Linked DNA regions of Astyanax mexicanus. The protein of the gene in region 2 purifies or fractionates together with the protein of the main gene of each other region. This does not show direct contact. Links are inferred from orthologs where the notes say so. Each region holds a gene or a part of one and is shown on either strand. Other genes may lie near its edges. The genes, in order: golga5, slc6a15 and klhl36.

Region 1 (3,757 bases), on a different chromosome or scaffold from region 2:
CATTTAAACAAATTTGGGTGTATTTTTGCTGAACAATTTGTTTAACTGTAGCTGCACTGCCAAAAACAGATGATGTAATCGCTTTACTAAGACTGCATAACCTGGCTCTGATGTAGGAAGATTAATCAGAACTATACACACAGCAAGGAAAAGACATAGAAAATGTATCTCTTTGGGTCAGGTTTTGGACTAAACTGCTGGTTATGCATGGTGGTACCTTGGCTGAAGTCTCGGGCAGAGCCGTCCTCAGTCTTGGCACTGTGCGTGCTGGCGCTGAGTGAGCTGAGGCTGGAGTTTCTGGACAGACCCCGTGTAGAAGGTGGGGTAGCTGGTGTCGAGGGGACACCCTGGGGAGCGGCAGTGACTGATCCAGCCATTACCTGTCCCTGAGCCAGACCTTCCATGCTCATCACACTGGACGATGTATCTCTCCTAGACTCCATTCTCTCACTTTGTGGTGGATCTGAGCTGTTCAGGAAGTCAAATAGGAGATCATCATCCACCTCAGGTTTTTTGGGCCTGACAAAATTGGAGGAGGCTCTAACAGAAGAGCTGCCACTGCCGGAAGGGGCAGAGCCCAGCTGAGTTGAGCTGTACACATTGGAAGTGCCGGCGAGCACAGTGGCTTTGGATTTCTTAATGTTCCCAGCTGCTGCAGAGATAAATCCATGTGTCTCCTGGTTGGAGGATGGACCAGGGTACTCATGCTGGGGCTGAAAAGAAGCCCTATAGCCTGCGGAACCCTGCTGAGCAAGAGGGTCAACAGAGTCCTCAGGGCTGTAGGATGACAGGGAGGATTTTCGAGTCGAATTTTTGGTCAGAGCTGTGGCTGCTCCCTGGTCCACTTTGTTTAAGAAGTCCTCGGCTCGGCCTGCCAGATCAGTGAACCAAGACATCCTGAGGGCTGAGAAGACAATAATTTGTGGTTACCAGACAAAGCCCGATTCTAATACTTGCATATTCTCTGATTCTTGTTAAACCTGCTACGTTTTAAAATGAGATGTTTTGCAATTACCTTTAGCAGCTAAAAGCAAGCCATCATGATTATGTCATCATCATCATGTCCTGTCTGTTAAATTGTCTCATCTGCTGTATTTATTGTAGTGTTATAGTTTTTCTGTTGCACTTTTTCGTACACTCTTTCACTTAATGTTTGTCTATTGTATTGTTGTTCTATGTTGCATCATGGTTCCGGAGAAACAGAGTTTCGTTACACTGTTTATCTGTACTCAGGTGTAATGACAATAAAAGCCTCTTGACTTGACTTGACATATTAACTAAGCCATTTGAAATGCATTGTTTTGTGATGTCAGAAAAAAACAACAAATTTACATGTCTCCAATGATTCAGCCAATCCCTTATTAGGTTTTACCATTGTTATTCTGATCTGTTTCAGCCTGGCTACATTTCTAAATGAGGCACAATACACTACAGCCAATCACTACAACTTACACATCAAAATATTCTCTATACTTATTGGTCAGAACTTTATAGGGCGGGACCAAGAAAGTAAATACAGGAAGAAGGTCCTGCCTCCTGGATCAGTGCATAATTCTGTGTAGTTTAACATGGAGCAAGATTTGTAACGTATTACATAGCTGTAGGAATTATCTACAGCTTTACTTTAAACTTTTAGAGTACACCTGACAACAGAGCTAAAAAATATTTTTGTTTGAACTTACTTGTCTAAGGAAGCTAAAGAACTAAAGAAAAAATATTAATAAAAATGAGAAGGTGTGTTGAACTTTTGCCTGATACTGTATATAATAACATAACATTAAGGCACTTATTCAAGCTGCCATTCATTTATCCTCTTGATAAAACTAAACAGATTTGTTGAACACCTGTCAACCTGTTTTAAACGACCTCTTACCAGTCATTACCCTCATTCAACACCACAGCCCTTACTGTTTCTTACATAATAAGAGTCCCTTGTCCTACCAATACAGTAACATAATTATCCATTATGATCTATTTGACTTGTCAAGTAAATAGCTACAGTATACAGAAGGTCGTTTATATCTTGGCTAGATAGGTTAGCTAAATCTGAATATATGATGTAGGCACACCCAAACCAGTCTAATTACAAGCTAGCTAAGGGTTAACAGGATTGTTCTGATTGTGCCATGGCACAACAGGACTCTTTAATCAATAACTAAGCAAACAATCAATATATCCAACTAGCTAAGCTGGCTAAATAACTAAACTCTAACGAAGAAATGGGGCAATCCTTCCAAAAACAGTTAATAATAAACATAATTTAAAAAAAAGTATTAGCTACATTAGCTAGCTAGGTTAACTACTCAACATACCAGCATAAACACTGTTAAATTACGATAACTTTAACAACTATAGAGTTAAACAATAGCTAGCTACTGTGTTTTATGACTTCATATTCAACAAATAAACGGCAGCAGCTTTAGAAATATAACGTTAGCTAAACTAGTTATAGTAGGTGAACTTGGTAAACAGAGCAGTCAGGGAGTCTTAGCCTAGCCTGGTTTAGCTTTAGCTTAGCTTCCCTCAGTGATGTGGATATTAAATGGTTTAATGTCGTACCTGAAGTGTTTCAGTTTATCTGAAGAGAGAGGCAGAACTCGTTTAAAGGCATTTTTCTCCAATAACTCGGGACCCAGCCCCACCCACTGTTATCCGCGGAACTCTGACAACAGCCAGCGCTAATGTTGTCATTCCTCTCCTATCAGCATCAGCTGAAATCCGGCTCTACGTGGCCCAGAGACGCGTTAAAGGACCGGAGCTCAGAGTGTGTTTACCGGGCAGGCAGAGCGCTGCTGCCCCCTACTGCTGCTGCCTAACCAGCTCCACCAACCAACACCACTCTAACACAGCAAAAATGCATTTAAAATTGCTAAGGAGATTTTTATAGTTAACTTTGTGTTAAAAGTTTTTTTTTCCTCAAAAATATTAAAGTTGCAAATAAATCGCAGATTTTATACAAATAAAATGAGCAGAAACAAACGAAGAGATTCCAAAAGCAGACAATATCTACAAAAATAGAAAGAAAATCGAAAAAGATTTTTTAAATTACCTTTTTTATTACAAATTTCAAGTGTTTGATATAAAGTGGTGACATCATGTAAAAAAAATAAGCAAGATTCTAATGCTAGCCATGACTAATTAAGGCGTGGGAACAAGATCCTTATGTGTGGAAATGAGATAATTAAATTGTGGCCATGACCTATTAAGATGTGGGAATGAGATAGTAGCCAGAGAATAATAAAGCTTGCTTTTCTGTAAATTAATGCCAATGAAGAAGACTGAATATTACATCAAAGCTCCAATTCAAGAATAATCTTTTGTAAGAAAATGGAGAGTGAATTGGTTTCTTGTTCCCACGCATTAGGATCTCGTTCCTTCGCCTAAATAAGTTGTGACCATGCATTATTTTTTTAACATGATGCTCCGCAGTTTGAACTTGGTGTGACTGGTGGATTAATACTTGGCCCCTCTATGAATGTTGTGGCCCCTTACTGTACAAATCCTAGATAAAATAATATAAAATACTCATGTGTTAATTTTTCTCAACATAAAACGATATCAAATGTTTCAGCGTTTTTTAACGCTTTAAAACCCCAAATGTATACATCTGAACTCAGTGTTCTAGCTGTTACTTCATCATGAGCTCACCAGCAAAATTAGCTCATAAGTTAGTTAGCATTAGCCGTAATGCTAGCGTCTTCACTGCATAAAACCCGTTTTCTGTAGTAAAATCCAGGTATATTTTCTTAGCTTTTTT
Region 2 (3,757 bases):
AGATCTTTAGAGATTACCAATAAAAATCAAGGGAAAAAAGTAAACTACCGGTATATGGAATTAGGCTGTGTATTGGTAAGAAGTTTGCGATACAATGTGTATCATGATACAGGAGTTACTATTCGATCAATTACGAGATACAATGATACTATACACAATAATGTGTACTGCAATTGTTAAAAATTCAACTTTATAAAAAAAAAAAACAGTGAAGCTGTGAGATCAGACTTGGCCATTGCTCATATCTGTTTTAAAGCATGAAGCTATACATTGTCCCAACATAACATTGTGTCTCCATTTTATAAGTAATGTATGTGTACACATCAATACATAATGTGTATTTGGCAGTAGTTCCTTACATTCTTTACATCAAAACTTAATTATGAATAGACTAAAAAGAAAGCATGTGTTTTTGTGCTTCACATTTTAGCCTACATTGTCCTAACATAGCATAATTAAAACAAAAGTATTGCCTTTTTTTATTAATGGTGAAAAATTATACACACACATAATATAATATATCATATATACACACACAATTAGAGATTGGTGATTAGGTGATGCAATACAGAAACTAGTTTCACAATGCTCAACACAGCACAGTGTACCAGCATGTGTACACATTTGTATCTGGCAGTTGTTTTTTACATTGTTTCAAAATTTAATGATGAATGGACTAAAAGAAATGCTCCAAAATGAACTGTAACAGAATATTTTTTTACTAAACATATGTAGCTAAACATTGAGTAAAGTGAAAAGTGTTGTTTTATTTTATAAACTACAGACAACATTTTTCCCAAAGTTCAAATAAAAATATTGTCATTTTGAGTATTTATTTGCAGAAAATGAGAAATGGCTGAAATAACAAAATAGATGCAGAGCTTTCAGACCTCAAATAAAGCAAAAAAAAAAAACAAGTTCATATTCATAAAGCTTTAAGCACAACTGGAATAACTCTGGTTTTTAATCACAGTTTAATAACAGTTAACAATGTTTCATCTTGGCATGATCTCCTTCACCAGTCTTACACACTGTTTTTGGATAACACTCCTGGTGCAAAACTTCAAGCAGTTTAGCTTGGTTTGATGGCTTCTAATCATCTATTTTCCTCTTGATTTTATAGGTTTTCAATTTGGTAAAATCAATGAAACTTATCATTTAGTGATCTATATATATATATACACACATATATATACATATATATATGTATATATATATATACATACATATATATATATATATATATATATATATATATATATATATATATATATATATATATATATATGTATATATATATGCAATAGAGTATAGGTGATGCAATAGAGTAATTCGTTTCACAATGCTCAGCACATCAGCTGGATCAGTATTCATGCATTCAATATATGATGTCTTCAGATCACAGCACAGCCTACCGACATCCCCAGTTATGCAATCACGACTACTTGTCAGATATCTGTCCGGTTGACCTATTTAATCGCGAGCTTTGCTCTGAAACGATCCTCTTTCTTTCCCCTGCGCTCTGATGATACCGGAGCCCACAAGCACGAGGTTCATTTGCATAAGAACCCAAACACTGCTCAGCATCGCTCAGCGGCCAATCTGAGAAGCGCACCGTGCTCAGACCCTCACTGATACACTGTTTTACTGTTTCTGGGGAAAAGCGGATCACACACACCTGCTACACCGATCTTTTACCATCTAGAGCTAAAAGTAGGCTAACCCCGTGATTTTACAGCGGTGAAGTGTGTTCAAAAAACACACACGGCAAATTGCTGCTACCCTCCATAGCAGCTTACAGAGCTCATCACCAGGATTAGCCTTCACTAAACGCGTTTCCTTTATACACATTTATACACAAAGTAGCAAAATATTAATATAAGAATATCACCTTAAATATTGTAAAATCTAATTCATGTTTAAACACAAATGAAAACACTGCTACATAAGCTTTAAATCAAATTGTAGAGGGTCGTCACTAAAATAACCTAGCTAGAAATGGTTTCACCATATGGAGCTCACCATCATTCAATTTCTATAGCACACAGTCATCGCAGGTTAACTAGCGTTATAGTGGTAGCTATAGGTAAGGTTGCTGGTTGAATTTATATAGCAAGTATTAAAATAATCAACATTTCATTCATTTTTTTAATAAAAAGCGATTTTTTTGAAGAAGAAAATAATAGTTATTTCAGATATATGCATTTTCTTTCCAAATGGGTTGAAGAAGAATTAATCAGATTCCCCGCCCAAATTCCCTGTGCCATCCATGTGGCGTATTTCATCATACACTGTGCACTGACTGCACTGTGAGGCTGGCTGGCTGCTGGCGCATCCTTCCCCCTCTGTACAAAAAAAATCACGAGAAAACAGATATTCTTACCTTCCCGGGTTAAACAAAACGTGTTCAATAAGTGTAACGGCTTCCTTTAGCCCGTAATAAGTATTTATATTATATTTAGTGAAATCTGCGGGAGCCGGTCAGCATTACGCATCTCTCCTCCTGTATCTAATTCTAATGATTCCGCCGGTGCTGCTCACAAGACGCTTCGCCTTCAGTGACATTCATTCAAACGGATATGCTGAGGGGGGAGCGGGCTTTCAGCAGCGAACCACAAACCAACAGCCTGCTGATTTAAAATATTTTACAAAAGGTAAAACACGTTTAATGTATTGAATTACCTTAAAAACGAATTTTAAATTACAATTTAAGTTACGTTAAACGGGGCAAAATGGATCTCCCAACATCCCTCCCCCCTTACTAAAGCGAGTGGTTCAGTCTACTACATGGTGCACACGCTAAGATGGTTCATGTGGGTGGATTTCGCTCTCGAGGCCATGCACGCGATATCCCGCCTTTCTCTTATAATATATGTATCAGTAAATGTATCAAATGACGTGTGTTCTATATCTAACGACCATGAGTATCGCATTTATTTACCCATGTAAATATAATTAATATTAAAAAATACAGTCAATATAATAACCTACATATTTTGCAAGAATGACCGGTAACCTATTGCAAGTCTGATTATATATGGTGTACTGTTGCTTTATGCGCTCTCTCTCTCACCCCCTCCATCTCTCTCTCACACACACACACACACACACACACACACACACACACATACACTCATTCACTCCCTCATTTACAAATGCTGGTCATTCTGATTAGTAAGCCTGTATAATGTATTGATATAAGCGTTCTCTATATTTAATCAAAATTTGTTTGTGCCACAAGCTCCACTGTTTCACAGTTTTGCCCCCAGCAACCAGATCAAACCTAAGCGAGCTCCAATATTGATTTAGTCTGAGAGTGCATTTCAGATCTATGTGGGACAGCCACTCTGTCCTATAGTATAAGCCTCTAATTATATATATATAGCTCTGGAAAAAAAATAAAGAGACTACTTCAGTTTCTGAATCAGTTTGTCTGATTTAACTATCTATAGGTATATGCTTGAGTAAAATGAACATTGTTGATTTATTATATAAACTACGGACATTTATTTAACTATCTATAGGTATATGTTTGAGTTAAATGAACATTGTTGATTTATTATATAAACTACGGACATTTTCCCCAATTTTCAAACAAAAATGTTGTAATTTAAAGCATCTATTTGCAGAAAATGAGAAATAGCTGAAATAACAAAAACAATGCAGCTTTGAGCTTTTAGACCTCACCAAGTTCATATTCAAGTTTAGAAATCAAGATTTGGTGTAATAACCCTGTTGTTTACACAGTTTTGTGCAT
Region 3 (3,757 bases), about 3.9 Mb from region 2:
ATTTGAGCGGGTTGTCTGCAGCACAGGCTGGGCACTGACACGGGCATGGTAGCCTAGTGCCTCCTCCACCAGAGCTTCGCAACCAGAGTCTGAAGGCAGCAGGGAGCGCACTGCAGGCAACACCTGTTCCATGAGCTCATCCAGAGGGATCAGTGCAAAGCGAATGTTGGACAAGAGCTGGCAAGCGAAAGCTGAGCGCTCAGGTCTTTGGGTCAGCCACTGCAAAGAAGCCTGAAGAAGTGCCTGTTCACTCTCATTCTGTACCTGCTCACTCGCCAGGTATGAGCACAGCTTGGACAAACGCACATCCCTCAAGAACTCAGGCGTGAAAGACAGTGTGGAGAACCGTTCCAGGATGAAGTGGTCTATGAAGGCATCCAGCCTGTCTAGGCTGTAAAGTAAGGCCAGTTCCTGAAGGTATAGATAGTTCTCCTCGCTTACCTCCTTCTCCAGGTACTGGCAGCAGAAATCCACTGCCTGCCACACTTGCAATAAGTGAGCTGTCTCAAGCACATAGTCAATGTTCCCACCATCCAAAGGCAACTCACCGCTGTACAAAAAGTCCACAACTGCCTTCACACCAACGTAGGAGGCTCCAACCAGCTCCACCTCGGCTTGACGCTCCTCCCGCATGCCGAGGGTGAACATGGCCTGGAAGTAAGGACTGGAAACTGCCAGCAGGGCACGGTGCGCAGCCACCCGTTGGTCATTGGCCACCAAGACCACGTCACACAGCTGACCACACTCTCGCTGCTCATTCAAACCCTGAAGGAGATAGCTAGCTTGGTCTGGCCATCGATAAACCTGTTAAAAAAAATAACATGCGAGCAGATGGAGAATCATGATACATGAGATTTAATGAAAATGCTTTAAAATTTGTAACATTTCACACTTTCTGAGGAGGATTTCACACACCTTTGAAGACTCGCTGATTCTGTGTGGGCGTGAAAGACGAGCCTGCCTCCCACCATCCATCATGTCATCTCCCTCTAAAACTATCTACAAAGTGAAAGAACGATATAATAGTCTCAAACATATAGACAAACTGAAGGTGAAATAGAGGGGTGGAAAAACAAATTGTTTTCTCATTAAATATTCTGAATCAGTATACAAATTGTCATAATCATTCTGAGCTGATTGAGGAAAACTTTTTTTTTCTAATGTAAAACAAATGAAAATAGTATGAACTTACTTTTCGGTTAATTACATTTAATAACATTTATTTCTTTAAATGTGCCTTTAGTAAATTTATGTTCAATTATTAAAATTTAATATTTAATTAAAAAAGGGGTAGAAGCAGTATGTTTTAAAACTACATAACATTACATTACAATATTGGACAGTATTCATTTTTATTAAACAAATATACCAACTGGAGTCTGTGTAGTGTAGCTTTAGCCACACACCAATCATAGAAAGAAATACACTTGGATTAGCTACTTCTACAAGAGAAGATGAGGTATTCCTACATGCAGAGAGAGTTTGAGAGTGAGAGAGAGAGAAAGAGAGAGAACCGACCTTTAACGTTAAAATGTGGTTGAAATATGGCTGAAGAAAGGTCTGTTGTTGTTTCAATGTTAAAACAACATTACATGTTGTTTTATTTGTTGAATCAATCTAATTCTACCTTTTGAATTAGCATTTTACATTTCATCACCATACAATTTCAAAAAACAGCTGGATGAAGGGATGAAAAAGTGATTTACTTCTATTTGTAGTGATTGCTTTTTAGTTTGGCACCAATTCTGGTGGTATGTTGATGTTTACTGTTGTGTTTTTGAGATCAGCTGTTCAGTCAGATTGGTAGTAGTGGGTAAAATTCTTTATACTCAGCTTTACTACAGTGATGTAAGTTTAACTTTAAGACTTTTTAGTTTTAGCCACTTGTAGTAATTGAAGCTTTTTGTTTGTAGTTGTACAGTTCCTATTTCTCAGATATGTATATGCAGAGAGAGAGCAAGAATTAAAATAAAACTTTTTTTCATAATTCATACAATTTTAAGCTAAAACGTACGACGTTGAAAGAAGGTGACCATAACAGCATTGATTCACTTCAAAATCAACACCAAATCCAATGTTGATTTAAACATAAAATCAACGTTGAGCGACAGATAGAGAGAGACACAGAGAGAGAGATAAAGAGAGAGACAGAGAGATAGACAGGCAGAGAGACAAAGAGATAGACAGAAGAGTGATAGACAGAAAAGTGGCATCCAGCAGTTTATAAGCTATGTTTATTAACTAGTTACTAAACTTACAGTCGACCGAATGCCCGGTAATATAGATATACAATTCCTACAATACCTGTTATACATACTTAATGCAATAAACTAAAACTGTCCACACTGTAGGGTTTAAAAAAATAGTTTAAAATCTTTGTCCCTTTAAAACAAGATTTCTGCAGACCTGCTGAGAGTAAAGTCGATGGCTAGCTGGCTAAAGACAGGCACATTAAAACAGTTTTTATTGACACAGAAACTTAATTTAAAGAATTAAGAAGAAATGTGCAAGCTTACGGCATTTAGAACACACTATACTCTGCGATAAAACAGAAACTGTGTTACTTAACTAACTATTATTCTCACTGGAAAGTTAAATCAGGAAAAATAACACTAGGAATAACAGAGCCTCACACACAGGCACTACAATAGTTCGCTAGCCTGACAAATCTGCAGCGATTCTTCTCATCTTTCTGTGATGACAACCAGCTAATAAGAAGACGAGATAATTTTACCATTGTGTCATTGTCTTCCCGAAGAGCTCGAAAAACGCTGTAGGTTAATTATTATTAACAGTTTCGCTCGTGAAAAGCTTCAGGACCAGTGAAACTCACTTCTACACTTTAGCTAGCCCAGCTACCTCGTTTTGGAACCTATAGCTACTTTTCATAATAAAAGTCCCACCCCTGACACACTGACATGCATTGTACAACAAAGACTATTAACGTGGATCAAATCTCACCAGTGTAATCCACAGATACATCACTCACATCCAAGAACCCTGGATAAACCTTCATTTTTGAATTGCATTACATATTTGAAAAATTAATAATACCCTCCATAATAATTATTTTATTTATTAAAAATATTTAAACGTCCCTTTCTACACCTTAAAACTCAGTACAAGAATACAAATGTGTTTTTTGCCATTTAAGCTCTTCACGTCATGTAATAACTGAAAATGAAAAAAAAAATCAGTGTACAGAATTCTGCAGTAAACTGCCAGGTGTATTTTATTATAGATGGCATTTCAAAATAATGAGATAAGAAAAAGCATCTCAACATAACGACTTAGCATCTCAAAACAATGACAGCATCTAAACATAATGAGAAAGCATCTCAAAATCTTGACATAACATCTCAAAATTATCACATCTCAAAATAACGCCTTATCAAAACAATGAGAGCATCTCGAAATAATGGCTTAATATTTTAATATAATAGTATATCAAAATAGCATTTTAAAATAACGACTTAGTATTTCAAAATTGCACCTCAGAATAATGACTAGTACTGCAAAATAATGACTTTTCATAAAGTAATGTATTTCAAAATAATAAGATAGCATTTCAATATAATGACAAAGTGTATCAAAATAATGAGATATCATCTTAAAATAATAACTTACTATTTTAAAATAATGACTTAGTATCTCAAAATAATAACTTGTTTCAAAATATACTTAATATCACAAAGTAATAAAATATCAAAATAATGGAATAGCATCTTGAAATAATAACTTAGTATCTCACAATAAT

Evidence for each region.
Region 1: the proteins of slc6a15 (region 2) and golga5 purify together in Homo sapiens (co-immunoprecipitation; 3 studies listed by BioGRID and IntAct, counting the BioPlex papers as one, with this or other methods). This does not show direct contact. The link is inferred for Astyanax mexicanus from reciprocal best matches to the Homo sapiens genes SLC6A15 and GOLGA5.
Region 3: the proteins of slc6a15 (region 2) and klhl36 purify together in Homo sapiens (co-immunoprecipitation; 3 studies listed by BioGRID and IntAct, counting the BioPlex papers as one, with this or other methods). This does not show direct contact. The link is inferred for Astyanax mexicanus from reciprocal best matches to the Homo sapiens genes SLC6A15 and KLHL36.

What each region holds. Positions count from the first base shown.
Region 1 is NC_064414.1:7,827,849-7,831,605, forward strand, and holds the start of golga5 (golgin subfamily A member 5), read right to left. Parts: upstream 2,756-3,757; 5' UTR 2,560-2,755; intron 1,662-2,559; exon of another isoform or gene 1,016-1,661; intron 905-1,015; 5' UTR 897-904; coding exon 218-896; intron 1-217. UniProt on the Homo sapiens protein: Involved in maintaining Golgi structure. Stimulates the formation of Golgi stacks and ribbons. Involved in intra-Golgi retrograde transport.
Region 2 is NC_064416.1:21,351,022-21,354,778, forward strand, and holds the start of slc6a15 (sodium-dependent neutral amino acid transporter B(0)AT2), read right to left. Parts: upstream 2,578-3,757; 5' UTR 2,384-2,577; intron 1-2,383.
Region 3 is NC_064416.1:17,483,518-17,487,274, reverse strand, and holds the start of klhl36 (kelch-like protein 36), read right to left. Parts: upstream 2,874-3,757; 5' UTR 2,738-2,873; coding exon 2,735-2,737; intron 1,000-2,734; coding exon 916-999; intron 805-915; coding exon 1-804.